Elephas maximus indicus: one gene and its partners. The protein of the gene in region 1 interacts with the protein of each later gene in a biochemical or structural test. Links are inferred from orthologs where the notes say so. Each region holds a gene or a part of one and is shown on either strand. Other genes may lie near its edges.

Evidence for each region.
Region 2: the proteins of BMP7 (region 1) and ACVR1 form a complex in vitro, tested with the Homo sapiens proteins (2 studies listed by BioGRID). The link is inferred for Elephas maximus indicus from reciprocal best matches to the Homo sapiens genes BMP7 and ACVR1.
Region 3: the proteins of BMP7 (region 1) and ACVR2A are reported together in a solved structure, tested with the Homo sapiens proteins (2 studies listed by BioGRID, with this or other methods). The link is inferred for Elephas maximus indicus from reciprocal best matches to the Homo sapiens genes BMP7 and ACVR2A.
Region 4: the proteins of BMP7 (region 1) and BMPR1B form a complex in vitro, tested with the Homo sapiens proteins (2 studies listed by BioGRID). The link is inferred for Elephas maximus indicus from reciprocal best matches to the Homo sapiens genes BMP7 and BMPR1B.

The regions. Positions count from the first base shown.
Region 1 is NC_064843.1:11,986,460-11,994,701, reverse strand, and holds the start of BMP7 (bone morphogenetic protein 7), read right to left. Parts: upstream 3,178-8,242; 5' UTR 2,669-3,177; coding exon 2,251-2,668; intron 1-2,250. UniProt on the Homo sapiens protein: Growth factor of the TGF-beta superfamily that plays important role in various biological processes, including embryogenesis, hematopoiesis, neurogenesis and skeletal morphogenesis.
Region 2 is NC_064824.1:55,167,583-55,175,918, reverse strand, and holds the start of ACVR1 (activin receptor type-1), read left to right. Parts: upstream 1-4,822; 5' UTR 4,823-5,428; intron 5,429-5,535; exon of another isoform or gene 5,536-6,354; intron 6,355-8,336. UniProt on the Homo sapiens protein: Bone morphogenetic protein (BMP) type I receptor that is involved in a wide variety of biological processes, including bone, heart, cartilage, nervous, and reproductive system development and regulation.
Region 3 is NC_064824.1:44,701,808-44,709,594, reverse strand, and holds the start of ACVR2A (activin receptor type-2A), read right to left. Parts: upstream 3,450-7,787; 5' UTR 2,734-3,449; coding exon 2,679-2,733; intron 1-2,678. UniProt on the Homo sapiens protein: On ligand binding, forms a receptor complex consisting of two type II and two type I transmembrane serine/threonine kinases.
Region 4 is NC_064823.1:59,706,650-59,714,362, reverse strand, and holds the start of BMPR1B (bone morphogenetic protein receptor type-1B), read left to right. Parts: upstream 1-4,507; 5' UTR 4,508-4,758; intron 4,759-7,713. UniProt on the Homo sapiens protein: On ligand binding, forms a receptor complex consisting of two type II and two type I transmembrane serine/threonine kinases.

The DNA of each region.
Region 1 (8,242 bases):
TCCTGACAAACTTGAGTCCAGGCCTTCACCTAACTAATTACCCTCAGTAGAGAGAGAGAGAAAACACTCCTAGAGCGCCCTGTTAAAGCCACTCCACCATCTAATTTGGAGCGATGTTCCAGAAAGCTAGACCTGAGAAATTTAGGCAAGGCTGTCCCACAAAGCCCAAAGCCAGCCCAGCTGATTGAGAGGCTCAGACAAGCCGGTCTTTGTCCTTTCAAGATGAAAGAAATGGGACTAGCGGGGTTGAAAGGTGTGTGCACAGCCAGAAGGAAAACCACCCAGCTGTGGCCTTCCCAGGCGAGTCCTGGCTTGCTCCCACCACCCACGGGAGCAAACAGCCCTGCCCCCAGTTCCCAAAGGCATCCAGTGAGCAAACCGCTCCTCCCCTGGGGTGGGGGGGCCCCAGGATCTGGCCGAGTTGCCAGTCACTAAGCATTAGAGCTTTTTGCATGGGTTTGCAGAGCCCTCTACAGAAGCCAGGGCTCCCAAATGCCTTTGTAATGACCCCGGCTGATCTCTGAAGGCGGCAGCTGGGACCTGCAGCATTGGGAGTCCCGGATACCCAACCCAACAGCAGATGCCATAAATCCCAGCCAGAGAGAAGGCCCTGGTTAACCCGGGAATCAGTACTGCTATAGAGTGCCACTTCCGTTTATTCTTATTTTTAGAATTGTTTTTTAGTTTTTGGTACAGACAATAAACACACACGGCAAGAAAAAAGTCACAGGCAAAAGTGAGGACATTGAAAAACCCGACTCCCCCCCTTATGTCCCAGTCCCAGTTCTGCCCCTCCCCTCCCCCCCCCCCCCCGTAAAATTTATTTCCAGTTCACGGAGTCTTCTGCTAGAACATGGACGATATACAAACATGTATGTAGGCTCACTGATCTGGACCTGGCTTGTTTCCACCCCGTACATCTTAGAGATTGTTCCAATCAGGGCATAAGGAGCTGCCTCGTTCTCAACAGGCTGCCTCGTATAACTTCAACTTTTTAAATGTTATTTTGCCATCTAAACCTCCCACTCCTTGCTCGCTGAAGCGCATTTCGCTATGTGAGTTGGGCTATCATTTAGGGTGGACAATGGCGTCCCCTGGACTCCGCCGACCTTATCAGAGGCGGGAAGCCCTCACGCGGATCCCCACTTCCCCGCCCCCGTCCACTCCCCAGGTGGCCGGCGTGGGGATTTAGGGTCATTATTTCCAAGTTGACACTGCGCCGGTGGGCGGAAGTTTGCTGTCTTGACTCTGCTCGGATTTTCCCTGCAAGTTACACAGGTAGAATGAAAGCGGCTCAGGAAACAGCGCTATCGGGCTGTGTTATCTCGGAAACCAAATATTTGATCATCGGTCCTACAGCGCGCGGCCCGGGATTAGTCTGAGCGAGTTTGGTAATCATGCGGGGATGCCATGGAGGGCGCCGCGGGGCACCGCCGCAGCCCCACCTCGTTCCCCGGACAGGAGAGGCTTCATCGGGAGCCCTGTCCCCCCGCCGCCCCCAGCGGCGTCTGTTCCGAGATCCCGCGCCGCCCAATCGCCAAAACCGGTGGTTTGAGCGCCACACGTGATAAACGCTGAAAATGGATTCTGCCTGCCCGGGACCTATCATTAAATATTTAAAATAGAAAGTTCGCAATGGCAACGTTTCTTCCCTGGCTCCGGCAGGAAGACCAAGAGAGGGGGGCGCCGGCGGCGGGGAGAGGCCCCCAGGCTCCCCAGGCGCGCGGCACGGGAAGGCGGGCGCACCGCGAAGGGACAGGTAGGGCTTGCCAGAGCGGGGAACGGGTCGCGCTGCACCGGAGGCCAGGGCCAGGCAGGGTGCGCGGGGCCGAGGGCGGGCGGGAAGGCAGCTTCTCCAAGAAGGGCCCTTTAAATCCAGGTAGCGAGCGCCGAGCCGGCCAGGGACAGCTCACATGACCGAGCCCCGCGCTTTGAACTCAGCCGCGACCAGGGCCGGCGCCTGCTGCCCCAGAGGTGCGTCCGGCGGCGTAACCAGAAGGGGGCTTCGGGCGGGTCTCTACACTTTCAATAACATCCACAGGCCAGCTGAGCCTGCCTCACACTACCTGGGGGCGAGCACAGTTTGGGCTCCACTAGGGCCGGAGGTAGAAGACTCTCAGCCAGGCACTGACCGCTGTGAAACCCGCCGAGCGGAAAGGTGGGAGGCTAGATGTAAAAAGTCACCCCCCTCCCTGTTGCAAGGCGCCCCCCAGCCGAGGCGTGCTCCCCCTTCCTCCTGCCCGCACTCACCGAGGTTGACGAAGCTCATGACCATGTCGGCGTCAGTAAGGAAGTGGCTATCTTGCAGGCTGGCCAGAGGGGGGCCCTGGGTGCTGAAGACTGCCTTGTAGGGGTAGGAGAAACCCTGGCTGTCGGACCCGCCGCCCTCCTCCACCGCCATGGCATTGTACAGGTCCAACATGAACATGGGCGCCGAGTTGTGCTTGCCCTGGAGGTGGGGGCGCGGGCGGTGGGGCAAGCCCAAGATGGAGAGGATCTCGCGCTGCATCTCCCGCCGCTCCTGGCTGCGGAGGCGCCGGTGGATGAAGCTCGAGTGCACCTCGTTGTCCAGGCTGAAGTCGGCCAGGGCGGCGCGCAGCAGGAGCAGGGGCACCCAGAGCGCCACGAAGCTGGAGGGCGCCGCGGCGCGCAGCGAGCGCACGTGCATCGCGCCGGCTCTCCGCGCGGCCAGGGCACTGGGCTCCGGGCACCTGGGCCCGCGCCGCCCCAGGTGGCGGAGGGGGGCAGCGGCGTCCACGACGCTCAGTCACTTGCTGCAGATGGGCCCCGCTGCACCCGCGCCGGACATGGCCCCTCCCCGGCCGGCTGTGCGCTGCCCGGACCCCCACCCCGACTCGGGCTGGCTCCGGGGCCCCTAGCCCTGCACTCGCTTGGGCGCACGGCGGGGCTTGGAGACCCGCTCCAGCGAGCGAGGAGCCTGGCGCGGGTGGGAGGAGCAGCCGCAAACCTCCGAGCCTGGAGAGCGAGCGCTGGGGAGGCGGCGGGCGGGCGCTCCTTCCTCCCACTCCTTTCGAGAGCGCTCTCCAATCCGGCGACAGCGACCCACCCGCTTTCGACCTCCGGCGCCGAGAGCAGGGCCCCAGGATCTCTCTCCCCGCCCTGCGCGCCCCTGATCGCACGAGAAGACGCCTCGGGAGCCCCAGAGCGAACGCGCTGGGGCCTGGGAGGAGGAGGAGGAGGAGGAGGGCGGGCTTCCAGGGGCCCCTCCCGCGCCGGCGGCCTCCCACCTGCCTCGGCCCCGCCCTCCCCCCTGCTGCGCCCAATGGATTCATTCAACCCTTCCAGCGCGCTCGACAAATATTGACCAAGTGCCCACAGGGTGCCCAGCGCCAGGCCAGACGCCGCCGGCCTGGGGAGGAAAGACGCCCACCCGGCCCTGCCCTCTCGGGGCTCGTAGTCCGAACAGGGAAGGAGACCTCAGCCGGACCCAAGGATCTGGGCAGCGGGGGCAGAAGCTGAGCGGCGGGAGGGGCGTGGAGGAAGCGCGGGAATCGGAGAGGACTTCTCAGAGGAGGTGCCCCTGAGCCCGACTCGTCCGTTTGCCCCCCTCCGACACACTCGCTGGCTTTCCTCACTCCAACCACGCGGACCCGCCGCACCCCCCCAGACTTGTCCACAGCTTAACTTTGGCCACCTGAAACTCCCCCTGACCCTCGCCCCCGCCCTCTGTAAGGACAAATAAATACAAACTGAAAATAGGAGGTTTTCATTCTCTGCAGAAGACAGGGGACCAGGCTCCCCTGTTCTTGCAGAATTCACTTTAGATAACTCGTAATGGTTGGATCTTTGTCTTTCCGAAAAGTATGTAAATCAAATAAGTTTCTCTAGGGGGAGAGCAATTAGGAGTACATAGCAAGGTGTATATAAATTTTTGTATGAGAGACTGACTTGATTTGTAAACTTTCACTTAAAGCACAATTAAAAATTAAAAAAAAAAAATGTTTCTCAAGGACCTGGGAGACATCTTTTGAAATGTAATCATCAAGGAAGTTCACACCCCTCCCTCCCAGTTTCCTGGAAGGAGATTAACATAACTTTAGGTGTCCTGCCACGAAGACACTGGAAAATTAGCAATTTTATCTTTAACGTGAATGTAATGGGCTGTATCCACTCAGTTCTCTAAAGCCTCGGATTCCTTTGTCTTGGCAATTTCTCTCCTGGACTGATTGCCTGTGATGCATCCCATTTGGGTTCAGTGCTTATTCAAGAATAAAACTCTTCTGTCTCTTCCATTGTTGTGCAGAGGCTTTCTAAGTTGAGAGCAGGTTTTGTTTTTAGAAACTCTTCCCCAACACCAATGCCCTCAGTCTCTCCCCAGGTAGAAGACTCTCCACCACCAGGTCCCTATTCAGCGGCCACTGCCTCCCAGAGACCTTCCCAAGCCAGCAAAGCTAAGGCTGCCTCCCTCCTCACCCCCACGCACTCGTTTTATTTTCTTGAGCTCTCTGGCTGTCTGGAATTACTGTTGCAGTTTACCTCACCCGCCCGCTACTCTGCCTCTGTCCTTCTCCTGCCTCTCACTCTTCCTTCCACAAATATTACTAAGCTGCCCATGGTGTGCCCGGCTGACCGCTGCCCCCAGACCACTACAGCCTACGGGTCCCCTCTGCCAGCTGAGGGAACTTCAGTGATCACTACACTTTGGAGCCTCGGTTTCCTTATCTTTAAAATGGGTGCAAAATAACCCCTTACTCAGAGTGGCAGTAAGGACCATGCCCCCCGCCAGGGGCTGTCCCAGTGGCAGTGAGGACCATGCCCCCCCCCAAGGGCTGTCCCAAGGAGGCCAACAAACAAACCACTGATTCCCATACAAGGGTAGGTGGAGGGTCACCAGGGAACCCAGACAAAGTTTAGGCTGAGTTTGGGGAAGGAGGCTTCTGCTAGGGGCCTAGCTGACCCCCCTGAAGGGCTGGAGAAAGCCACCAGGCTGGTCCTTCCTGAGGCAGGAGGGCTGGTGAGAGACACTCCCAGGAGCCAGGTTTTCTCCAGTTCTCCTGAGCAGAGCAGATCTGCCATGCAGCCCTCTGGGTCTCTGGGGGCTTTTGGACAAGATGGCAGCCTAAGGGGTCACATGGGTGGAGAGAGGAGAGGCCCAGCCAGGAGAAGAGATATGCAAGCCTGCAGATCTGTGGGACAAAGAACTTCATTTGGCTTTTTGCCTCTGGTTTTTTAAAATAACCTGAGTAACAAAGGTGCCCTTTGTCCTTCTGAAACAGCCAGGCCAAACTTAAATAAGTATATATAAATAGGGGGCTACACAGGTCACCCCTTGACTGCAAGTGTATTCATGGATTGGCTCTACCCTAACTCTGCATTAAGACTCCTTAGAAACTAGAATGGCAGGGTCTGATTGGTCTCACTTACTTCGGACGTGTTATCAGGAGGGACCACCACCAGGAAGAGGACCTCATGCTTGGTGTTTCATTTTACTTGGATCCACAGTCAACGCCCACGGAAGCAGCAGTCAAGAAATCAAATGACATATTGCATTGGGCAAATCTGCTGCAAACGGCCTCTTCAAAGTGTTAAAAAAGCACAGATGTCACTTTGAGGACTAAGGTGCGTCTGACCCAAGCCATGATATTTTCAATCGCCTCATACGCATGCAAAAGCTGAACAATGAATAAGGAAGACGGAAGAAGAACGGAAGCCTTTGAATTATGATGTTGGCAAAGAATATTGAATATACCATGGACTGCGAAAAGAACAAACAAGTCTGTCTTGGAAGAAGTATAGCCAAAGTGCTCTCAGAAGTGAAGATGGCAAGACTTCATCTCACATACTTTGAACATGTTATCAGGAGGGACCAGTCCCTGGAGACGGACATGGTGCTTGGTAAAGTCAGTGAAAAGAAGGAAGACCCTCCAGGAGATGGGTTGACACAGTGGCTACAACGGTGGGCTCAAACAGAACGATTATGAGGACAGTGCAGGACCAGGCAGCATTTCGCTCTGTGGTACATGGGGTCACTGTGAGTCAGAACCAACTTGACGGGACCTACAACACATCAAGGCTCCAGTCATGCATATTCACTGAGATCCCAATGACTAGGGGACTCTGGTCCTTCCAGTGCTCTCTTTGGGGCTTTTGGGATTGGTAAGAGCATCCCCGCAGGGGAGAGGGCACAGCACGTCCATGGGGACAATAGAGCCTCCAGCCCACGCCTCGCCCAGACCTTGCCTGATACATCGCAACGCTTTGTAGCCTTTCTCACTATGATAAAGGGGTAACTGTAAGTACAGGTAATAGTTTCTTCGAGTCATTCTAGGGAATTATCAAACCCACTGCGGACAGTGAGAGCCAGCAGAGAGGCTGGCGTTTGCCTATTTGGCAAGGGCTGGATGGACAGAGTTCTAACTTGTGGAGACCCCCTTCTGGGTGGTTACAGTCTGAAAGTGCCATGTGGGTGGCTGGTGGCCAAAGAATGAAGTGGGAGGTGGAGATATGAGTTATCTCCACATCTTGGAAATTTGCCTTAGATCGGCTATTATTCACCAAAGGTCCTAGTCATTCATGTGGACACCAGCCGGCCAGACGGCCACTACCACAGAGGCCAGGTCCTGGGCCCCTCCCCGGGCTGGGCCTCTGCCCACTGGCCAGTATCCACTCACTCCTTCAGTGTGTGTTGGGTGCTTCCTGAGTGTCAGGTGGGGGCGGCTCCACAGGGTGGCCACCTGTGAACCATACAATTAGTTTAATGCTGTTGCGTGACATTCCTGATCATCTATGAACAAGGGGTCCCTCATTTTCATTTTGCATGAACCCCTCAAATTATGTGGCCATCCTGGTGTCAGGGACAGCATTGGACCCAGGCATAGAGCCGTGAGTGGGCCAGGAAGTGGTCCCCATCAAGAAGATGGCTTTCAGGTGAGGGGACAGACCAGGAACCTTCATTAAGGCTTGGAGTGAGAGGAGAGGCAGACAGGCCCCACGAGGAAGTCAGAGGAGTACTGATGGCGGAAAAAACTAAATGACCCAGATGTCATTGACCTGAGTGAGGGACAGGCATTCCAGGCAGAGGGACCAGCCAGTGCACAGGGCCTGTGGAGCAGGGAGCAAAAACATGGCTCCATCCCCCGGGTCCTACCCAAGCTCCCAGTGCTGCAGAGTCGCTGCAACTGCTCTGCTGACTCAGATCCCAGCGGAGATGAATGGGGTCTCTTTCTTCCAGCATCAAGATGCTACTCCCCTGCAGCAGCCTCTGCTTCTTAATCCCCTCTCTAACCTTTTGGGGGGATCTTCACACACTAGTGAGGCTGGGGGAGAGGGGAGCAGGTTGGTGCCACAATTTACATACGAAAGCCACTGAGAATCTGTCGGTCCCGCTGAACTGTCAGTGTCCACTCATCTTCCAGGGAGGTCCTCCAAGGAAGCATTACAGTTCATCTTCCGTGCTTCTCAGCTGAGCCCACCTTGAGCCTGGGACACAGCAGGTGCTCAATAAAATACCTGTTGAATGAACAGGAAGAAGCACAGCCAACACATAGGGAGCCTGTTGACCCAGGGCTCCAAAGTGGCCCTTCTTCTGGGTGCCATCTTTTCTCCTGCGAGATGAAGACACAACCAAAACCTGTTGCCGTCAAGTCAACTCCAATTCATAGCAAAGAGACAACAGAGTGTTCCGTAGCCAGACCTGGGAAGAGATAAAATCTCCTCTGGACTCCCACAACCCTCCTATTGAACCTTATCTTTCCTACGATACCTACGGAAGAAGGAGTAGACTATTTTCCCTGCTTCTTCCCCCAAAAGAGTCCCCAAGACCACCTCAGTTATGGCTTACTGAGTGAATGAATGAACAAATGAGTGAATGCAAACACGCAGAAACAGCGGTCTGGGAGTGCATTGGATGCGGGTTTGGGAGCTGAGGTCACCATCAAGTCTTCAAGATTGTTTAGAGTCCCATGGGTGGTTCACACCCTGGGGCTTCACCCCTTTGAGCCTCAGTTTCCCTGTCCTAATAGTGCCTGCCTCCTTGGGTTCCCCTGAGGACTCATGAAAAGGGCTTTGAATAGCGCATGGGAAACAGAGAAAGCACTCAACAAACGTCCGTCTCCATCTGTATGGAAAGAAGAGGATGGTAACACGGACGCTCCCTCAATTTAAAAACAACAAATCTTTCCTGGATGATCTGCCCTTGGGACAAGCAGAGAAAAGCCGATTGATCCTAGGGGAGACGGACCGCCAGTGGGAGAGTTGTGTTAGAGATGAAAGGATAATCCCT
Region 2 (8,336 bases), on another chromosome or scaffold:
CTGGAGATATTTTCAGGGATGGTGTGAGAGAAAGCACTAGCAGAATTTTTCCAAGTGCCACAATATCATTTAATGAGGAATCTTTCCATTACAATACTTTAAGACGTGGTTGGCCCAGTCATACACTGGTTTGCATTTAACCTGTTGTGCCAGGAGTTACTGGACTAAGTTCTTAAACAATAGGAAGTTTGAGGGCTCCCATAGTAGCTCCCAGAGTTCCTTAAACATGGCCAATAAACTCTTGTATGAAATGCACAATTCATGAGTCATTGATACACTTGGGAAAGTTTAACTTGCAAATAAATACGTATCTGTCTTGTCTGGTTTAAATGTTTACCTTTTGGGAAAAAGTGCCAGTCCTGACAGGTTTCTTACTGGCCCTTTCAGCTTATGATTTTCTCTTCCACCCCTCACTATTCTGATCCAGTTACTTCATTCTTTAGAACATAATATTGACTTATTATGGTCCTCAGGATTAAGACTAAATTTCAGATTGCAAAGCCTTTTTAATTAATTACTCTTCAAGAATAGTCATGATGCAGCTAGACCAGTACTTCTTACATTTGTGTAATTTATAAAACTAAAAACCAAGCCAGTTCCTTTTGAGTCAACTCTGACTCGAGGCAACCTCATGTGCGTCAGAGTGGCTGATTTTTCAGGAGATTTCCAGCCTTTCATATAAGATTCTGGGTGGAATCAAACCACTAACCTTTTGGTTAGTAGCCAATTGCTTAATTGTCTGCGCCACCCAGGGACTCCTGAGTAATGTATACCTGTTGCTGTTGAATCGATTCTAACTCATCGTGACCCTACAGGACAGAAGTGAACTGCCCCATACGGTTTCCAAGGCTGTAATCTTTACTGAAGCAGATTGCCACATCTTTCTCCCTTGGAGCAGTTGGTGGGTTCAAACCGCCAACCTGTTGGTAAGTAGCTGAATGCTTAACCACTGCACCACCAGGGCTCCTAGGAGTAGTGATGAGTAGTGATGCCTTAAATAACTTTTATTAAAATATCACTTAAATGAACCATATTTACTTAGTTACATAGCAAAAAAGGCACTGGAATCATGGTTGCACGGTACACATGCATGTAATCTACAATATGCACACTGACTTCTTTACTATCATATTAATTTCTTTTAAAATCATTGTAAAGGAAGCAAAAGCACAAATTTCACAGATTTCACAAATGATTTGGAGACCTCCAAGAGTATATGTCGTTCTTTTAGTTTAACACATAGAAATGGAATCACTTTACTATAACCTCCTTTAACCCTGGCTTTGCCTTTCTCCTAAAGCAGTCTGGATGTCCACCCAGTCTTCAATGCTCAACTTAAAAGGAACAATCACTAAACCAACTGTAGTAGAACGGCCTCACATGGTTTCCAAGGCTGTAATTTTCATAGAAGCAGCCTGCCACATCTTTCTCCTGCAGAGTGGCTGGTGGATTTGAACCAGTGACCTTTTGGTTAGCAGCTGAGTGTTTAACCACTGAACCATCAAGGCTCCTCATCACTAAACTAGATATAAACTAATCTCTGCGTGCTGATAGCCGTTACACAACTATGAAAAACCAAAACCAAACCAAACCTACTGCCCTCGGGTTGATTACTGACTCATAGGACCCAATAGGACAGCATAGAACTGCCCCTATAGAGTATCCAAGGAGCGCCTGGTGGATCCCAACCGCTGACCTTTTGGTGAGCAGCTGTACCTATTAACCACTACGCCACCAGGGTTTCCTATGAAACCAAAAATAAATATGAACAAAGCTATAAAAATAATGTTTCAAATAACTGTTAATTTAGACAGATGATATTGTTTTGCTGGCCAAAAATGTCTGCACATTATCACAAACATGGTACTACTTCCTGCTAGATCAGGATGTTTCGGATTCTACATGCCCATTACTAAAGGAACAGTTAAAGGCTTATCAGAATTTGCGCATTCCTTCAACTATTCTTTTTTTTTCCCTTCATGAAACCTTTAGAAATTTAACTGCAGCACATCAACCCATCAGGATTTTCACCAACACCACTTCACAGACATTTTACCAATACTCTTCTAATGAATTTACTTCTGGAAGCTGGTATGTATAAATAAGTTGATTTTTTGTTTTATAGGTTTTAATAGAACATGTTCTGTTACTGTTATGGAATGAGGACGCTCTCTGGAACCAAAAGGAAATGGCTTCAAGATGAAAGAAAATCACTCGATGTAGTAATTTAAATATTTTAAGCAAAATAATTTTTTAAAGCTGCAATTTATATTCTGTACCACTTACAAACTGAAGAGTAGATGTGGTTATTGTTTCTAAGTCTAAAAGCTTAACCATAAACAGAGAAGTTTTATGTAAAATTTTATGGAATAAACTCCCCAAGTTTTATAGGAAAATTTTATACATCTCTTTTAGGCTGCTCAAGGCCTTGTTTCCTAATAGTTTTTGAAAGCTGCTGACTTTTAGAAATGAACATGTTGATATGGGCATAGAGGAGGAGATGCAGAACACAGAGGAGATGCCAATTCCCAATGCAGCAGGCAATTAATTAACAAGAGTCATGCTCCTTGAGATGTAAGATCGAGGAGATCTGTAAGATCGAGGAGATCTGTAAGATCGAGGAGATCTGTAAGATCAAGGAGATCTGAGAATCTTAGACTTACAGAAGATGTATGTCTTCCAAGGTACCGTACTGGTGTGATTTTCCACCAGAGTAAATTAGTGGATTAGATCTTGGGTTAAGGGAGTGGTTCTAAACAGGGGTTGATTTTGCCCCCCCGCCCCCCATGTTTGGCAATGTCTGTAGACATTTTTGGATGTCACATCTCTGGGGGGGGGGGTGGGGAGGCAGGACATGCTACTGCCATTTAATGGATAGAGGCCAAGGATGCTGCTAAACATCTCACAACAGACAACAGGAGAGTCTCCCACAACAAGGAATCATCCATTCCAAAATTTTCAGCTGAGGTTGAGGAACCTTGGGTTAATGTGGCAAAACCAGAGGCTGTATCCCTTTGTGGGCCTTTTTGCTTTACACACACACACACACACACAATCTATGTTACAAGGCCACAAACACTATCCAAAATCCTCCCAATCTCCTTGAATATCAATTAGTCACAGACAGGTTGAGTTAGAGGGTTTTGCATGAAGCCAGCCACACAATAACACCATCACTGAAAGGAACAGTTAAAAACATACAGGATTCATTTGCTCATTTATTCCCTTATTCAGCAAATCTTTATTGAGCACCCACATGTGCCAGACACTCTGCTAGACATGGTGGTACATGGTGAGCACAACAGACCTGGTCCCTGCCCTCGCGGAGCTTACAGTCTAGTGGGGATTACAACGAAGGTTAACATGAGGTCAGTTTGGAACATGAGGACTTCTTAGATGTACATGATCCAGGAACATTTACCCAGCAGCTTGAAAAGCTTTACATGTGTAATTTCATTTGCATCACACAACAATCTCATGAGACAAGCTTTATCCCCTTCTGAGTGGCTAAAAACATGCCCAAGGTCCCACAGTTTGTAACTGGCAGAGCAGACACTGCAGCCAAGTGACACTCGGGTCCCTGTTGTCCCCCATTGTTCCCCAGAGTGGGGATACACACAGGCTGTCTTCCATTGATTTGACCTCGATTATCCTCTAGTGATCCCCACCAATGTTACAGGTACCAAGTCCCTCCCCCTATGAAAAAAACGTCCCAGACTTTTCCATTCTCCTGCTTATATAATACCTGGAGATTATCTTCTAGCTCTTTCATGTATAGATATGCCTTGTGTTCCTAATTAGATTGTAAAATCCTGACCTGCAGGGACCAGATCTTCCATTTCCTTTGCAACCTTTTACAGTACTGCAGACAGTCACCCAATAAATGTCTGCTACATGAATGAACCTGTAGAGATAAAAATACTTTATGATATTCCTGTTTATTGATTTCATGCTTTTACTTTGCTTTGTGATAGGGCTGTGCATTATATGCTTCTAGAGGGCAGAGTAAATGGCTCAGTGCTTTCCTTACACTCAGCAGGCACCATGCAAAATTTGATCCTTGCATGCCTTTTGGATGCTCTGGATAATATTAGCACACTGGGGTGTTTTTGTGTATCTAAGGACCGAGGTTGTCAGCCTCTCTGCGGCGGGGAATGTTCCTTTCCTTCCACTGTAAGCTCCCATGGCGCCTAGGACAAGGCTAGATTACTGCAGAAGCCCCCCATGCATATTTTTATTACTAAGGAGGTCGACTGCGAAAATGGCAAGCTCTTCCATAACCCTGCGAAGAAATGAGCAAAGTGAAGGGGATTTGAAGGCACTTCAAAAATGGCCTGGATGAGAATGCTGAGGCTTCTCTGAGAACCCAGCCTAAGTCTGACAACCAGGACCCCAGCTGCGTGCTGGCCGTAGTCCCAGGAGGGAGCCCGCCCGCCGGCCCCGCGCGCCCCCGGGAGCTGTCCAGACAGCCCCGCCCGCCCGCCCGCCCGCGCCTACCTGGGCACTCACCCGCACTGCGCGGCCTCTCCTCCTCCCCACCCCGGCCGCGGGAGCCCGGCTGGGGCCGGCCCTGCCGCCTCCCCTTCTCCGAGGAGCCCCGCGGGCAGCGCGCTTGCAGCCTCCTCCCGGTCCGCAGGCCAGACAGCGCCGGGTGAGCCAGGGGCTGCGCGGCCAGGCTCGGCGGGGCTCCTGCAGGGGGCGCGGGGACGGCCCCGCCCCGCCGCCTTCCCTCTCCCTCCCGGCTCCCTGGATCCGTGCCGGGAGGAAATGATGTGTTGCTGCCTGGTTAATCACAGCTCCAGACACTCATTGGCCGAGCGCTGCGCAGCCACTTCCTCCTCCTCCTCCACCCGCTCCTCCCGCTCCGGCTCCTGCTCTTTGCAGCCGCCGCCGCGCCGCAACCTCCCCCTGCGAGCTGGGGGAACTTTTCGACTCTCTGTGACCGTCTTCTCCAGCGCCCCCCGGGGGGCGAGCCCCCAGCCGCCTGCCGGCCCCTCCCACGGCCATCCTCCCAGCCCGTGCCTCTGCGCCTCGGGAAGTTTATTCCGCCCGCCCTCCGCCCCTTCCTTCTCCTCCTCCTCCTCTTCACCCCGCCCTCCCTCCCTCCCCCGTGTCTTCCCCCGGGGTGGCTGCCGCTGCTGCCGCTGCCAGCCTGCTCTTTGGCCAGCCGCGCCGCGCCGTGCCGTGCCGTGCCGTGCCGAGGGCTGGGAAGCCCCTGGCCCTCCGCACCGCTCGGCTGCAGCCGTCGCCGTCACCGCCGCCGCCGGCCCTTGGCCCCGCAGAGTTCCGGGCTCCCTCGCCGGCTGCGCCGCCCCGCCCCGCCCCGCGCCCGCCGGGCCGCCCGCCCCGCGCCGCGCCGACCTGCAGCGCCCGGCTGGCTAGCACTCCACCTCCCCCGGCTCAGTCCCCGGCCGCGGCGGGACCAGAGGTGAGGGGAGGTCGCGCACCGCGTCTGCCCGAGCTGAGAGGACAGCGGGGGGAGGGAGCCTAGCGGGAGAATGGGCAGGGATTGGGGGTGGGAGGGTGGGCGTCTGCGGTGACTCCCCCTTGCTTTCATTCCTTTCTCCCCCAAGCTTGATCCACTCTTGGTGGGAGAGGCAGCGACGGAACAAAACTGTCTTGCTTTGGGCCGGAACTACTGGTGGGATATGAAGGGAGGCAGAGGCGTGGAGTGAGGGGGTCTCTGGTTTGCACTGGAGGGTGTGTGTGTGTGTGTGTGTGTGTCTGTCTGTGTGTGGTGAACTCCTTCGGGCTGTGCGCGTCTGACTTGGAAATCTATCTGGCTGCCTGGCCACCGGGCTCACCTTCCTAGCTGAGCTTGATAGAGAGTAAAGAGATGGGTGAATCCCCCCCCCCAAAAAAAATCCATCTCTTCCAAGAGTAATTTTCTGCTGGAGAGACAGCCAATAAACTCCGCTCAACTCGCTCCCTCCCTCCGTTCTTCCTAGCTGCAGTTTCAAAAAGCTTCAAAGCCAGGAATGTGGGATTCATCTTCCGATCCCCAGAAGGCAAATGTGGTTACAGATGTTACATGTTGCTTTGCCAAGTTTAAAACCCTTCCTTCAACACTGTAACCAAAACATTGGGGCTACAATCTTGGGCGCGCTGGGGAGAGATGTGTAGCTCTGGAGCCGCTGGATTCCATAACTTCCGTTGGGCTTTAGACTGGTTCAGCCCTGTCCAGTTTGTGCCAGACATGCCCCTCACCCTGTCTCCTCTTTTTCCCTGGGGTTTTGGACGCTCCATGGGAGAGAAGCTGTGGAGGAAGCCACTTCGAGGAAGAAAACGTTTAATTCAGTAGGAGAATAAAAGTCTTCGTTAAAAAGTTCTCATTCCTTTGACTTTTGGAGAGAGGTAACAAAGTAACGTAATGAATTTGTTAATTTTATTGGGCTTTCCTTTTTTTTTTTTTGGAGGTGTGTGGTATCAGTTATGTGTGTCCATACTGTTTTGTGTTTTGGGGAAGAGAAACCCTCGAACTGAAGCATAACCAAGTGTTTTTAAAGAATCCCATCCCAGATATGCAGACTGCTCTGACAGCTCAAGGGAAGGCGGTAGCAAAAATAGACACCACCTCCCTTTTCCCCAAAAAATTCTTCCTGGAAAGGTGGTGTGAAGAAGTTTTAGAGATGGGCTGATCCAAATGGCGGGCCTTAAATGGAAACACTATAGTATGTCCTGGCACTTGTCTCTGGAGGTGGGTTGCTGGCCCTGGGCCCGGGCTTGGGCAGCCCGCAGACACTAGACTTGTGCTGACCTCAGACACCATCCTTGCCATCAAGCAGTGTGCAGACTGCTTAAGTATGAAATATGGGTCTCACCCATTTTACCGGTGGAACACGGGTCAGGAGGTTATCCAAGGCCTGGAGAGAACCTGGATCGTCCATCTTCTGAGACCAGATCATATTCTGGTGATTTAGTTATTTTTGTTTTCTGGCCTGGAATGAAGTGGAAGTCTTTTGAAGCCGACATGTAGGCCTTATGTTGAAGTAATTGTGTTAGATGATAGCATTTTTGCTATCACCCTCATGCACATACTCAAAGGAGGTAAATTGATGTTGAGATAAATTCTGGGTACAAGATCAAGGGCTGTGATAGGTAGAGATTGAGTCATGCTCTCCTTTTCCAGCTGTATTGGTTGGTTTTACTTGAAATGGAGAGAGTGGTATTAAATGAAACTTTATTTAGCAGTTTCACAACTTTACGCCTTGGAAGAGAGTGATTATGTGAATTTGAAATTAAGTTCCTTGTTGCCATTGAGTAATTTAAAAGGATATTAAGAACTTGGAATAAAGATTGGATATGTGTGTCATATTCAGCAATGTAATTAATTTCATAAGTGAGGGATTTAATTCGATTAATAGCATTGTGGTTTTTTTTTTTTCAAACTAGTGATTTACCAAATTTTCTTCATGCATCCGTGGAACAGATAACAATGACCAAGCCAGTACATAAAGGCTATGACTCTGTCCTACTCAGAATTGTACAGATCTCATGATAGGCTTCTAGGTGATTCTCAGGGTTGAATTAAGTAGTCCAGCCTTGGGAAGGGGATGGGGAGGTAGGGCAAAAAATGGATTTGAAAATGATCCTGCTCATCAAGGTCATGATGTGAAGATGGAATCAATGCTTCTGTGCAGTACTTCCAGCAACAAGGAGCTGGGACTGGAAGCTGTCACCTGTGGCTTGTTTGCTGTTGGGCCCCTGCATTCTTGATTTATTTTTATGTGAAGCAATCTAATGTGTTAATTATTATGAAGAAGTAAACTCATAATGGTGGCAAAACCCCTCTGACATACTTTGGGTGAATTTAATGACAGATATGATTTGGAGGGGCTGGGTATGTGCCAGGCACTGTGCTCAGCTCTTTAAATGCATTTTTTTCATTACATTCTCACCACAAGCCTATGTTTTATTATTATTTTACAAGAAGAAATTGAAGCTTGACAAAATTAAGTTGCCCGAAGTCATACAGCCAGTCACTGATAGAGCGAGGATTTGAAGCCAGTGTTCGTGGGACCCCGCAACCCATGCTCAGCCACTTTCACTAGGGTTTACCAAACTTCATTCATTCATATACTGTCTTAATGAGTTTGTCATAGTTAAATCTCATTTAGTCTGTTAATTAATATTTTTGTGTAAAGCACTGATTCACTTACAAAAACAAAACTTAATTACATCATCTTTTAAAAGGAAATGGCGTATCACTGCCATATTTGGAAAACCAACTCACCTGCTAGAAATAGGAGGTATCATAAAAGTGCATTCATACTTGTACTGAAAACCTAAATTCAAGATAATGACTACCTGGTGTGGGGGGGTGGGCAGGGACCTGG
Region 3 (7,787 bases), on another chromosome or scaffold:
AGCCCTGGTGGCACAGTGGTTAAGTACTTGGCTGCTAACTGAAAGGTTGGCAGTTCGAACCCACCAAATGCTCCATGGAAGAAAGATGTGGCAGTCTGCTTCCATAAAGATTACAGCCTTGGAAACCCTATGGGTCAGTTTCCTACTCTGTCCTATAAGGTAGCTATGAGTTAGAATCGACTAGAAGGCAACAGGTTTGGTTTTTTGTTGTTTTTTATATCCTACAGGTACAGCCTGCGTAACTGGTCTAGAGAATACACAACACATGGAAGGAAACTGAAAAATAAAAGTCCACAAAACACTAAAATAAACAGTAAACATTCATCCTACACACTTGAAATAAAACTGTTCTTTACTACTGCTCCCATTTATTAAAAAAAAAAAAAAATCCAGAAACAACAAACTGATGACTTGAGAAATTCTCCAATTCTCATAAAAATAGCCATCGACATGCTTCCAACATGCTAGATCATATATTACATAGAGAAATCAATTAGGAGGAGAAACACAATAAGCCCTTTTTACTGTGCATTTGATTCACAACAAAAGCCCTTTAAAAGAAAATCAAACAATTCAAGTACTAAAAATGTTCAGGTATAAATATGGAGTAAGGTCTTCATGATTATTTCAGTTACCTTCAACAGAATCACACAGCTTAGTTCAACTAGGAATGTTCATTTAAAAAAAAAAAAAAACCAAGGCTAGAGTATTTACTATTAGTTTCATATAAGTGGAATATGTTTTGCAACATCAAAACTATTTCAAAATTCTGGTTATTAAACTCCTGGCCCAGGGAAAACAATCCTTCAAGAAACTGATGCTCAATTCGTTTTAGTCCTAAACCCCACAGAGGCGGCTGTAACATCTGAAGCGACAGCCTTCCTGCTTCTTCAGAAGGAATACCTGGAGACTGCTCAAGAATAACGGCATTCACCAATTAGTATGATTCAGGTGGGTTTGGGAGGGAATAATGTCCACAATTCCTTCCAGTGGCCATGATGCCCCTCCTCCTCAAGGGCAAGCGATCAGAAAAGGGATTTGAACAAGAGTTCACCAACCAGAACATAGAGGGGCAGAGGAGAAACAGTACTACGGGAAAAATAAAAACTACATGGTTAAGTCATGTCACACAAGCAAAAGGTCTAATGCTATCAAGGCCTTCATTCATTTCAGACACACCATTGTTTATCTTCCTCCCCAAACCGTGCACAAAAAGAACTGTCAGCCTGCCTTAAGCATGTTCCTTCTTCCATTTAAACAGACATGATTCTTCTGGTTAATCTCTGGCAATGATCGCCATTTCACAACACATTCAGCCCACCCGGAACTGATCAATACCACTACAGACATAAGACTAGACTTTATCCACTTATTAACCACAAGGAAGCGTACCATTCAGCAAAATTCTATACATTACAAAAGATCCTATTAAAAAAAAAAAACCCACCTCGGAGGAGGGAAAAGATGGACGGGACACACACACACACACATACACACACACACACCACAGAGGTACACAAAGAAAAGGCTACCACCCTCTAATTTCCCTGTTGCAAACAAGATAAAGACATGGCCATGAAACCTATCAATTCGTTTTTTTTTCCCCCCTTATAATGCTACCCCACAATCAGTGGCTGGGTACTAGTTGAATTTTATGATTAACAGATCCACAGTGACTTTAGAATTGTTTCATCTCTCGAACTAACTCTCCTGTTATGTACATATGCACACCTTTAGGCTAGACGCTGTATTCATTTATAGAATTTCAAGTACAAAAGACTAGTTTTTCCGACCACTGGTTGCAACCACAGAACGTTCTCACAAAATCCAAATTTCAAATATAAAATGGCCAGATTATTCTTTCAACTTTGGGCCAAAATTTATCTTATGACTACAGGTATTTAACAATAAGAACAATTTCATATGAGCAGTTCTAACCTGAAAACAACACAAAACATTTAAAATAAGTAGGTAAGCAAAATCAATGCCCAAAAAGAGCTCCCAAATGACGGCTGAATGCCAGCAAATTACCAACACACAACTGGCATACCTCTTCTGCACCGGGTTATAGTTAATACTCCAACAACTACAACTATTTTTAACACTGCTGGACACTGAAGTTGAAGAAAACGTGAGAGGAGACCCAGATGAAATTGCTGATACGATACACTGCTTCTCACTGTCAAAATTAAGCAGCAACTGACCTGATCTGCGTCGTAATAGTCAGGAGTGAAGCGCTAATTAAAGACAAAAAAAAAAAAAAGAAGAAAGAAAACGTATTTTTGAAGGATCCCCACACTAAATGACATTTTTGAATACGCCTTTTGGGTCTCAACCTTTGCATAAATTGTCACTTGTGGTATCTGCGGGTTAAGTGCAACTCAACCAGCGCTGTCATCCAGTGTTATGGCCACAAACCATGACTTTCTCACTTTCACAACAACAGAGCAGTTCTATCAGTTCGCCAACCTTCCTCAAAACGAGGAAAATCCATGGAGGTTTCCAGATCACAATCAGACCTGGGGGGTGGCAGCAGAGCGACTCGGGGTGGGGGGAGAACCTCCCCAGGCTCCACCGGAGCTCAGTGACCCAACAACAGCCGCCGCCGCCAGCAGTGGCAGTGGCGGCGGCGGCGGCAGCAGCAGCAGCAGCCGCCCCGCCGCGCTCCCTGCACCTACCTGAAGAACAAGAGATAAGAAAGACGGCAAACGCCAACTTCGCAGCAGCTCCCATTTTCCCCAGGCGCCGGGGAATCCGTAGGAAGTTCTCTTTAGATATCCAGTTCCCCGGGTCTTCCTCGGAGACAAACCTCCTGGTGTAAAATCAACCGTCATAAAACATATTCGGAAACCCCGAGCAAAAAACGTTCACGGGGTTTAAAAAAAAAAAAAAAAAGGAGAAAAAAAAAAGGCACGACAATTAAAAAAAAAAAATGCACCACGGGGAAAACCGCCACACACACGCACAACACTCAAAACCAAACAACGAAAAGCCAACAACAACAAAAGCGGGTTTAAATCACTGTCAAAATCACTGTCAGCTCCGCTCGCCTCTCGGGTCTCTCGAAACAAAATGCCAGGTTGAGGCGACAAGGAGGCGGTGGCGGCGGCGCCCGCTGCCGCCCGGACAGTCCGAGAACCGAGCTGGGTCCGACGACCGGACCGACCTTCAACCCGGACACCCAAAGTCCGCGGACCGCTGGCGGCCGAAACCGCGGCGGTGGCGGCCGAGGCGGCGGAAGCGGAGTGGGGAAGGAGCGGCGGGCGGCGGCGCCGGCGGTGCAGGCGGTGGCCAAGTTCTGGTCCAGGCTCTGGCTCCGGCTCCGGGCTCCGAGCTCGGCCGCGTTTTCGGTCCCCTGGCCTCCGCCGGGCCCCGCCCCCCAGACTTCCGGTTCCGGCCCAAAGCTAGAAGCCTGGCGCGGCGGAGGAACGCGCGGCGGTGGCGGCAGCGGCGGCGGCGGCCGGGCGCAGCGCGCGTGCCGGGCCGGGAGCGCGAGGAGATTGTCGGGGAAAAGAGGCGGGAGCGGGGGAGGGGTGAGAGCGCGAGGGCGGGGCCGGCTGGAGGGCGAGGGGGCGGGGCGGACGGAGGCTCGATACCGCGAGGCCTCGGCGTCCGGCCTTCTTTGGCCAGAGATCCCGCGAGAAAGGGGCGCGGGCGCCTCAAAGCCCCCGAGCTGTGGCTGGGCTGTGGGTCCTGTGCGGTGGGCGGGTGGATGTGGTTGTGGGTCGTACGCTCCTGGTTTCCAAATCGCGCCCCCTGGCCTCTCTTGAGTGCACGTCTTAGTGGTCAGGGGAAGCCCAAAAGGAACAGGACACCGAAGCGAGTGGGGGGCCGGTGACGCCTTCGGGGGGCGTCTGCGGCACCCTGTCTTTCCTCTGGGGGGACGCCTCGTCCGCTCCGAGACTCCGGGCGCCGCATGTGTGGAAGCCGAGGGTGGGAGCCCGTCCACCGCGCCTGGAGAGCTGTCCACCAGCGTGCCCTGTGCACACGAGCAGGTGTCTGTACGCCCAGCCTTAGCGGTGCGTCCCACCCTTGTGGCTTCTGCTAAGCGTTTTGTCTTTCGGCTAATAACGGGGGAAGGGGGAGAAATCAACGGAGGATGGGGGCTATGCGCCTAGTCAGGGTGTCCACACCAGTTACCACGCACGATGTGCGATTTGAGTCCATTCCCACCAGTCCCTTGTTTTACACAAAGCATTGTGTGGAGAACTGTTGTGCACACAATAGTTTCGCAAATGCGTGTTTATCACGCGCTGAGGAAAAAACTGCGGATTTCCATCAGTGTATTTGACCGTTTGACAGGTATTTGCTTATTCAAATTTTAGTTATTTTCGGGTTCTTTTGCCCCTTAATCCATGTTGATTGCTTACAAGGTGTGCTGTCGTAGGCACGTATTAAGATACAAAATTTAAAAAATAGATCCCCACCTCAAGGAACTCAGTATTTTCTGCATTCGACGTTGATTACAGAATAAAAGCTAAAGACTATGTTAAGAAACTAGCTCTGTCATTTACCACACTACGGTGAGCTCCTGAAGGTAGGGATCTTGTCTGTCTTCATTTTTATCCCAGCACCCACAAGTGTCTAGCATATGAAAGGTGCTTAACAAATACCTGTATGAATGACTAGGGTATGACCTTTTTCTTAAACACAATTTTCTGCATATATATTATGAATTTTTGTGCTTTTTAAAATAATGAAATAGTAATAAAGCAACTATTAATATGGCATATTCATGTTTTACGTGTGGTTCACTGACTCCTACATTTTTCCCACAAAGCCAAGCCTTCTCCTTTGTATTTGTTTTCTTTTTCTTTTGCTCTAAATTACTCTGTATTTCTGTCTATTAAGTTCATCCTGTAATTATCTGCCCATTTCTACGACTTGTCAAGGTTATTAATAATTATTGTGGCTCTTTAGACTGTCTGCAAGATTTCCAGTTCTCAGGTCATGGAGCTCTGAATTTCGCTGATACTGTGCAATAGTTAAGAGAAGTCCCAAATTGGTTTTCAGGGTGTCTGAATGATCTCATGTCAAGCAGTTCTCTTGTCTTTGTGAGCTGGTCAGTGGAGTAAGTATAAATCTTCCATTCTCTGGTTGAATCAAGAGTTGCCACTAACTTTCTGGAATGGAAGAGTGTTTTTGACTTAGAACCACCTTCAGTTCGTTCAGGAATTTGATGTTAGTTATACCCTGGATCAGGCCCCACTGTTGTCTTATCTCTGCATCTCTTCAATATTTCTTGAATTGTGAAACTAGAGAAAGTGGAATAACTGGAATAACAAGTAATAGGATTAAAACTTGAAAATAAATTCCTTATCTTACCACCCACATTTTCCAGCATGAGAATGTAAGAGAAGCAGTATTCTGTAGTATTAAAGAGGAGCTTCACTAAAATATCCTTTAAGTAAACAGTTAAATAATCCCATGGGACGTTATTAACATCCAGTAACAACAGTCAAGCATTCTGTACCTAAATCAGTGTTAACTCCCTACTCCTGCATTTAAAAAAATTCAAAAATAATTTAACCTAATAAGATGGGAGTATGTAAGTTCCAAAACATAAAAAGAAGATGGAGATAGCTACAGCTAACCCTAGAGCCCCTCTTTCCTCCCTATGTTCTGGAATCAGTTTCTCTTATTCCCAAATCCAACACTTCCATAACAACAGTATCAGCTTTACAACCTGGATTTGGGAAGGAAGGAGAGGCAACATGAAAGGAATTCCAGTCTGCCAAAGCATTATGGGGCAAATAGCTTCAGTTAACATCACTCACTACCCAAACCTGAGACCTTGCCTTGTAACCACTCTAATGCTGGAGTTTAAAGTCCAGAGTCCCACCAAGAAGTTCATCTGAATTGCAAGTTTTTCCCAACTGGAAGAATCTCTCAATCTAGAGATTTAAATATGTGTTGGCTTAATGAGTAAACGGGTAAATGAGAGTCACAGACTGCTTCCAGAATAAAGGATGATTCCTTTTTGTGCTAGAACCCCATGTGGCTCCAAAACATATGGACTAAGTTTAAACCTTCAGCTCTGAAGTAGGGCTGAATTTGAACTGGTCTGGAATTTAACTTGCTTTAGAAATTGGGTCGTATGCCATGCATCATGGGAAATTTCATCTTAAGGCATTCACTTGACTTTAGACCTACCAATAGCCAAAACACTTTTACTTCATCTTCAGGAAGATGACTGAATTGCTTTGCAGTATGAAAGATACTGAGTTCTCCTTACATGAAGAATTTAGAGGTATTTTTGCTGCTTTCTAGCTGGTATAAAAGTCCATTCCTGTGTTGAGATAATATAGATATTCTTTAATTGGCACAAGTAACAAATTTCTTTTATGCCACTGCTGTAAAGCATAATACGTGAATAAACTTGATAACTTAGTAAGTGAAAGGAAGGCAGATAACAGCATATCTTCCAAGAATATCCTCATCTTCATGAGTGGCCAGGGTGTGAAGAAAACTAGCTGCAGCCTGCCTTTTATTGCTGCTTACTCTTCCCCTTATACTCTTCCTTTCACTTCTATTTACTTCCAGCACTGTGCCAAGTGGGGTCAAAAAGACACATACTGAGCAGAAAAAAGATGTGGGAATGAACGAAAGACAAAACATTAGGCAGAATATTTTAGAGTGGGGCGAGTGAGTTAAAAGGGTTTAGAGAAACTAGCTGTGATGGAAATATGTATCCAGCCCTTTGAGGGAAAAACCTGCTGCAACCCAGCTAGTACTATAAATCGCAGCAAACAAGTAGTTTCTCTGTAACATCCCAAGGGTAACATTGGACTTTTTCTTTCCACTATCCCCTCCTTCAAGATCCAGTAAATGTGTGGGAAACAAAAATAACAGGATTAATTTGGGGAGGGGTTTTTTTCTTTCCCCATCCTCTAATTTATATTCATGACCACACCTGTTCAGCTTTCTTAAGAACTAGATCTCCCCAGAACGATAACCACAGTGCCAACTCTAAATGCTACACAGCAGCACAAAGAACACCTAACCACCCCCAACCAAAAAAAAAAAAAAAAACCCACTGCCATAAAGTTGATTTTTACTCATAGTGACCCCATAGGGTTCTCAGACTGCCACGTCTTTCCCTTTCTCCCACTGAGCTGCTGGTGGTTTCGAACTGCTGGCCTTTTGGTTAGCAGTCATCGCTTTAACCACTATGCCACCAGGGCTCCTTACCCATCCCCACCCCCCGTGGTTCTGGATTATGGTGCTATTGACCCTCCCCGCAACAGCTGGAAATGGGGGGGGATAGGGAGTGTGTTGGTTTGCACAATGCCTGGTGAGGATGGTGTCACTGGCTTTCAGTGTCCTGGGGCTAGGATGATAAATGTCGTGCAGTATCTTGGGCAGTCCTACCCAATAAAGAATAGGTCAGGCTTTGAGATATACTACCAGAACCAATCCCAGTGAAGGATGATGGAGTAAACCAGAGCTATTCAAAGTAAGTTCATAAACCAGCGCTGGTCTTAAAACTATTTGTTACTGGTCTTCCATGAGATAAGCATAGACATTGCAACAACAATGTAGAAAGTTTTTTTAGAAACTTCACATAGAAATTTATCCTTGTGGAAACTAATAAAATATTTGGGCTTATATTTTGTCATTGTTTTTATTTCATGTTTTTAGTAATTTGTATTGTATATTATAAAAGTCTCATAGATTAGGAATTTACCATAGATAATTGAGAGGGATCAGAGTAGCGAATAAGCTATTTACCCAAGGCTCTTTCTCAAAAATAGTGCCCTCCATCCATTTTGACAAATGCTAAAAAT
Region 4 (7,713 bases), on another chromosome or scaffold:
ATGGGGCAGTTCTGTTGCATCCTATAGGGTCACTATGAGCTGGAATCAACTCGATGGCAACAGGTTTTTTTTTTTTTTTTTGATTTGGTACTGTGGAAGGAATAGGTTTTTAGTTAACTAAGAGTCAACACCCATTCTCTTCAGGTAGTTTAATTGGGGATTTTCTCTTCACATCTGTTTTTCTTCCTTAACTTTTATGTTCCTTTTCTAGTGCAGAAGGAAATAGTTGCTGTACATTTCTTCCTGAAGCACACACTGTAAATATATTGTGAGTCAGGGAAAACACTGAAAAGTTCCAAGGTTGGCAAATCATTTTAGAAGGAAAAAGTCATCAGGAACATAAGACTCCAAAGAAACAGATGTAAGAATGACTTTTTTTTTTTTTTAATAAGCTTTGTTGCAGAATTTTTTCCTAATTTTCCAGTTTTAGGAACCATGTAGGTATACGAACTAGAATGGTTCAGAAAAAAAAAATTATCAGGTTTTAGAAATAAAAAAAATTTTTTTTCTGTACAATTTAAAGAAAGATAATATTGAAATGATACTGTTATTAAAATCTGATTTCAAAGGGATTAATTCATATCAGCATATAACATTAATTATTAGACAGCATATAAATAGGTGGATATTATAGCTGCTTTTATTAAGAAAAATTGGAACAATGTTGACACCAAAAGAAAATAAAATCATTTTAGCATTTCTTCTTCAGATTTTTTTTTTGTGCCTTGTTTCTGTTTGAGTTCTATTTTTCTTTAACTTACATATTGGGCAAAATTAATCTGTTACAGAACTAGAATCTATGTGTTATTTCTTCCTATATAAAAATCACAGGTGCTTTATATAAAATTAAATAAAAAGAACAGCAGAAAATATGGTAAAAGGTTTAGAATGTAAATATGAGAGTAATTTGAAGTGTTTTTTGATAGTGAGATTATCACTGATATATAATGCACCAGGGTGAATTATCAGCAATACGTTGTTGTTAGGCGCCATTAAGTTGGATCCAACTCATAGTGATCCTATGTACAATAGAATGAAGCACTGCCTGGTCCTGTGCCATTCTCTCAATTGTTGCTATGCTTGAGCCCATAATTGCAGCCACTGTGTTAGTCCAGCTCCGAGAGGGTCTTCTTCTCTTTTGCTGACCCTCACTTTACCAAGCATGATGTCCTTCTCCAGGGGCTGGTCCCTCCTGATAACATGTCCAAAGTACATGAGACAAAGTTTCACCATCCTTGCTTCTAAGGACAATTCTGGCTGTACTTCTTCCAAGACAGATTTGTGTTCTTTTTGCAGTCCATGGTATCTTCAATATTCTCCGCCAACACCATAATTCAAAGGCATCAATTCTTCTTCTGTCTTCCTTATTCTTTGCCCAGCTTTCATGTGCATATGAGGTGAGTAAAAATACTATGGCTTGGGTCAGGTGCACTCTCAAAGTGACATTGTTATCAGCAGTATAGTCACTCATATTCTATTTATCAATGCTAATTAATATATTAATATGATTGTAAAATTGTTTATATAAATATAAATTATATTTATCTTGATGCTTATATTAATACCTAAAAATTTCCGTATTAGGTATGTTAAACACAGAATCATAGAGTAGAAAGGTATCTTTGATATTTGTTAGCCTCCTCTTCTATCTGTTGTAGGAACCCCTTCGGTAGTATTCCATCCCTACCTCTGACCGAACGCTTCTGTGATAAGAATCTCACTATCTTATGATGTCGTCTGCTACACGACATGAAAAATCTGATTTTGAGCTAAAATCACCCATTTCTAGAGCTAGGAAAAGTGGTTTTGTAAATACAAATGCCAGGGGAGAGTAGTTAAAGACAGGGAAGAGATCTTTAGGAAATTCACAACTTGGCAGAGGGCCTAGGCAAGGGGATTGAACACTGACACCAAGATGTTAGCTTTAAAAGCCCCAGACCCCATTGGTTCTCAAGTCTGGTCTCAACAGCTCCTCACCCTGGCTGTTAGCTTTCCAGGAAGCTCAGGAAGCTGTTTAACAAAATATAAAGGACCCAAGTACCCTAATTTTCATGCTTTTTTAGGATCAGGCTCACATATTACCTTAGATTCAAGATTTTTAGGTAATTTTTTTTAGTGTTCATTAGATTCTTAAAAATGCCCTCTTTGCTATAGAGGTCCTGTAGCCAGACTGTCCAACTTTAAATCTTCCTCTTTCACTTACTATGCTTTGTTCATGTAACTTAACTGACTACCTTGGTTTCCTCATCTTTAAAATGGGAATAAAATAGGAGCCCTGGTGGTGTACCACAGCTCTTATCTACTTGCTTGTAAATTAATTGAAGGGTAATCTGTATCTTCCCCATCCAGTACTCAGAGATGACTGCAGTCACTTCGTCAGTGCCTTATTCCTGGCAGAAGCTCAGAAAGATGCTTGCAGAATAGAGTTAAACCAAGGAAAGCTGATCCTTCATACAGCTTCTGAAAAGATATGGACAATCCAAACCCTTCCTGCTCAAAAACTTTTACCATAATGTCTGGTTTATTTCACTGTAGTTCGTGAGGACTAAAATTGTAATATAAAAATATTTATTTGGTAAATAAAAGTTATCCATACTTCCTACAGTAAAGGGTACCAGTTCAAGTGGATTTCTTTCCTCTTTGTTGTTGTCAGTTGCTGTGGTATTGATTTTCGATTCATGGTGACCCATTATGACAGAGCAGAACTGCCCCCAGAGGGTTTTCTTGGCTGTAATCTTTAGGAGAGCAGATGGCCAGGTCTTTCTAACGCAGAGCTGCTGGGTGGGTTCAAACCGCCAACCTTTGGTGTAACTGTTGTGCCACCCAGGCTCCTTCTTTCTTTACTAAACCTAGTTAATGTCAGAGGATGGAGATGATGGGAAATTTAACTGATGACCAAGAGGAATGTAATTTAGGAGCAGAGACAACTTGGGGTGAGGGTAAAATGAGGAGAGTCTACATTGTGACTCTATGCAGTTACATGAGTACTGAGCACTTGAACTATAACAAAGGTCAGGTAAGGGATGCCAATGACAAATGCCACCTGTTTTGAAAATTTCCTAGTGTTATATTAAACAGAATTATTTTCTTCTTCCTTTCTGGCACCTGGAACCAGAATGTAGGTTAGTCCTGATAATATTTTGGCTCTAATATATGATGGGGTAAAAGACTCTCAGGAAGACTCTAACATTGCTTTTATGGGGAAAATGTGCCCACATTTCACACGCTCATCAATAAACATCTGGAGCACCACCTGCTCCTAAGTGGGAGCTGCATAAATAAATTCATACACAATCAAATTAATTTTCTTACTGATAAGTGTAAAGGATTATATTTCCTGCCTGCTAAAAAGATTTAATAGAAATAAATCGAGGAAAAGGACCAGTTGAAAGAAAACAGTAGGCTTGGAATTGAATAGGCAACAGAAATAGATGTAAAGAAAATGAGAGGAAAGCTACTCAGAATGAAATTGTGTTAAGATAGTATTGAAGCCACATGCCTGATGGTGACTAGAGAGAGTTTATCAGTATTTTTGGAAGATGAAGAGATTTTACAAAAAGAGGAAATAAGTAATGCTGGGGGGTGGGCAGCTGAAAGGCACTGGGAGAAAAAAGAATGTTTGGAAGTCATTCGATGGTTCCCTGGGAAATAGAGTTGGCAAAACAACTGATTTTAAAATGAAGCTAACTATTCTCCCCTCAAAGACTGTGAACTAACTTAATTTATACTCAGCGCCTTAGAAAATGTTTCAACCCTTAAAGATTTAGGAAGGTGACCACAAAGTAGAGACGTTAAGTGGCGCAGTGACTAAGAGCTATGACTGCTAACCAAAAGGTCAGCCGTTCAAATCCACCAGCAGCTCCTTGGAAACCCCATGGGGCAAGTCTACTCTCTCCTATAGGGTCCTTGTGAGTCGGAATGGGCAATGGTTTTTTTTTTTTCAATAGTCAAACTCCATCGAATACAATCGGAAGGGATTTTGTGTGCGTGTGTTGCCGTTAGTTTTTGTTTTCAGTAGTTTAAAAGTATCTGTAAGGAGAAAACATTTCATTTCCCTAGGGGATCCTTCTGTATGTTTCAGGAGCTCCTAAGACCTCCATCCGAAGCTGCAGGCATGGTTTGAAGTGTGTGTGTGCGTTTTTTACGAGGTGTGTCAACGTTTTAGCAACTTCTCAAAAGCGTCGACGACCCTGAAAGGATTAAATCCACTGCACTACATTATCTCTGGGAGTCCCTTCCAGCTCTCAATGTATAGTGAACGAATCTTTATTCCTCCAATTTATAAGGGTTTTTTTTTTTTTAAACCCCCTCTTAAACATGCCCAAGAAAACACATTTGGTTGAAACCGAAGTGATGCTCTAAGAAGCCAACTAAGTCTTGGCAGTTCACCCTTCTATCCAGTGCTGTAGAAGGGAAAGATGCAGGCAGCTGTCCCAAACGCGCTCACCTCTGCTCACACACACAGCAGCGGCGCTGGGGCTGCCCCAAGAGCGTCGGGAGGTGTAATCCCTCCGCTAAGTACTTGGCTCTCAATCTCCAATCACTAGTGGGAGCTGGAGAGGGCGAGTGAAAAGAAAAAAAAAAAAAAAAATTCCAGAGGCAGCCGAGGAGCGAGAAAAAAAAAAAAAGTCCCGCGGCGTCTGCGGCGGCGGCGGCGGCCAGAAGTTGACGGCGCGGCCGGGCGCGGGGCGCAGAGTCGGCGCGGGCAGTGCGGGAACCGCCGCGCCGAGGACGCCAGTGCCCGGAGCGCAGCTGCGGGTAAGTCGGGCGCGGGCGGGCGGGAGCAGTGCGGTTCGGTCCCCACGCGGGTGGTCCCCTCCTCGGGCGCGCGGGTGGCGGCCGAGGCGGTGCGAGTCGAGCGGGAAGAAGAGAGGAGCAGGGCTGGCGGGGGCGAGTGCGGGGCTTGGCGGCCGCCGCTCGGGGCAGGACGGAGCGCGCGAGCAGAGGAGGAAAGCGGGCAGCGCGGGCGTGGAGCGGCGGGGAGGGGTCAGGCGGTGGCCGCTCCGGCTTTGTGCGCGGGCGGCTCTGCCGGGTCCTCGAGGCCTCGGTGCCCGCGCTGAAGAGGAGCCCCGGGCACCGGCAGTGGCGGGAGGGACACGTGCTCCGGGAGCTGGAGAAGGAGGGACGCGCCGAGGCGGGGAGTAGGGACCTGCATTCCGGGAGCTGGGGCGGGAGGACGAGCCTAGGGCAGCCCCAGAACCTGGAAAATTGGAGAGAGCCCCTCAGGCCGGAGAGGCGCAGAACCCGCCCAGGCAGGACCCGCAGGCACCCAACTCGGTGCGGAGCCACCTGTCTCTACGCCACCCGAGACCGAGGCTTGCCGAGGGAAAAAGTGCGCAGCGGGTCGATCCCGGCGTCTCGAACTTTGCTCGGTCTCTCTGCCTTTCTATTCCTCTTTCCCTCTGTCTCTCCCTCGGACTGTGTCCCTCTCAAGTTCTCTATCTCTCTTTCCCACTTCCTCTTTACCTTCCTTGCTTTCTGTCTTGTTCTCACTCCCCACCGCTTCTGTCTCTCTGACTCTCTGTCCCTCTCTCTCCGTCCCACCCTTTTCTGTCTCTCTGTCCCTCCCTCTCTGTCTCTATTTCCTCTCTCTCCCAAGCTCTTTAGGTCTCTGTCATTTAGAGGATGACTTTCTGCTCCTTGTCTCACTCTGTCTCTCCTTTTTTCTGTCTCATTCTCTGTGCCCATCCCTGTCCCCCTTTCTGTCAGGACTCCTTATTTCTGTCTGTGTCCCTTGTAGTGTTAGAGTTGCAGACATCAGAGAAGATTCTCAGAAAGTCGTCTGGTGCAGTTGCATATTCCTTTTGAGTCACACCACTGCAGCTGAATGCTGGGTGCTTCTTATTTGTTCCCCATAGAATGGGACCATTGGTTTCCTTGAGTTATTAGGAACTGCTCTTTTCTTAGTCACCATCACCAAGGTGAGGTCAGTGACTTCCAGCAGCCACAAAGGTGCCAGTGAAAGAAAACAGAGGAAGAGAGCCCTTTAATTGCCTAGAACATGTAAAGAGAATGTACCAAACATATCTGCGCTGAAGCAGAACCACCTGAGAAGAGGTTGCTGAATTCTGGGAAGAAACACAAAAGGCTCCACTAATAATGAGGGGGTTCAACTAAAAAGTATTTAAAAATAATTTGAAAAAGCATTTGTGGAAATCTCTTGGTCTGTTAAATTGAAACCAACAAATGTCTGTTTTTCTACGTGTATTTTTAGAATCCCAGTGACAACACTCCTAATTATTGTTTTGGGAAAGTTATGGGAAATGTCCTGTGTCAACTGGGATATTTGTATTTAAGAAAATATCCAGTCTTTGTACTTTATACCTCTTTACACACTGGCGATCAAGAAGAATTATTTTTGATGGCAAAGAAAATAGGAAAGGATTTGTCAGTAATTTTAAAACATGAGACATTCCAGGGATCAATAATTTCTTTGGAAAATTTTCACTATAAGGATGTTTTGAAGGATATTACATCTTAGTGAAATAAGCAAGTTATTACACACTTAGATCATTGTGTGATGCAAAAAAAAAAGTGTGTGCTGTAAGCAACTAGTAGAAGTGATGGCTTTTTATAGGAAACATAGCTGGGAAATTAATTGCTCTGATTTTCCCTGTTTTCTTTAGTCATGTATAATGTACCTTTGTTTTTTAGCAAAATATGGCCTGGGGCTACAAAACTTGATACAGTGTGTTATTTGTCCAATTTGAATTACCATTTAGAAAACCACCTTTTCCTTTTGGTCACATGGTATAAGTTGATATGATCTCATTACTCATGTGCTAGTGGCTGCTGATGAATTTTAATGGCACCGATTTGTGATTTTAAATCAAAATGTTAGTTTGTGGTGAGTTAGAAATCTTGATTTATGTCATGTTAGTGAATCATCACTGTTTATAGGGGCTTTGCCACCTTGTCTGCCAGGTGCTACACAGCATTTAGTCTAGCAGGGTTGTCTGAAGCTCCCTGTTAGGTTCTGGTCCCTGAGTGACATGCTACCGCCACTCATGGGATGTTCATATATGTGTCTCAGAGTGTTCTGGTTGTTAAATAACATTTGTTAAAAGGAAATCGACTTAATTTTTCTTCATAAACTTTGACAACTGGGTGAGACAGCCTGATAAAGTATTTCTGTTAAAGTAAATGCTGATTTTATTATTATTTCTTTAAAGGTATAAGGTATTTTAAAATGTATATCTTTGGTACATATCATACCCTCCACTCAATTTATATTTATCATCACCCAAATCTAAGGTCACTTGTCAGCTACTTCCACCTAGCAAAGCCTTGCCTAATTTTCATAAGCCCCTCATCTCTTTGGCTTCTATGCATATCCCTCTCAGCACTCACCTCTCTGCTGTATAATTACCTGCTTGTCTCTCCCCACTGAACTGTTATCTCATTGAGTTATTCTTTTTCCTTCTCTGCCTTTCAGGTGCCCAGCACTGTACTGGGCATACGGTAAAAACTCAAAAAATCCTTTAAGGACAATTAGTTCCTATCTAATTTGTCTCTACCTTGTGATGTTAATTCTTTGAAATGCACTAGTTTTAACATGGTGTTATAGCAATCATAGACTTAGGGATGAAAAGACCTTAGAGAGTATCTTCACACATTAATATTAAAGATGAAGAAGATGAGGCCCAAGAGCTTGAAAAATTTGCTCAGAAATAGGCAGGGAAGCCATATTGCCTATGGAGCTGAGGCCTTGTG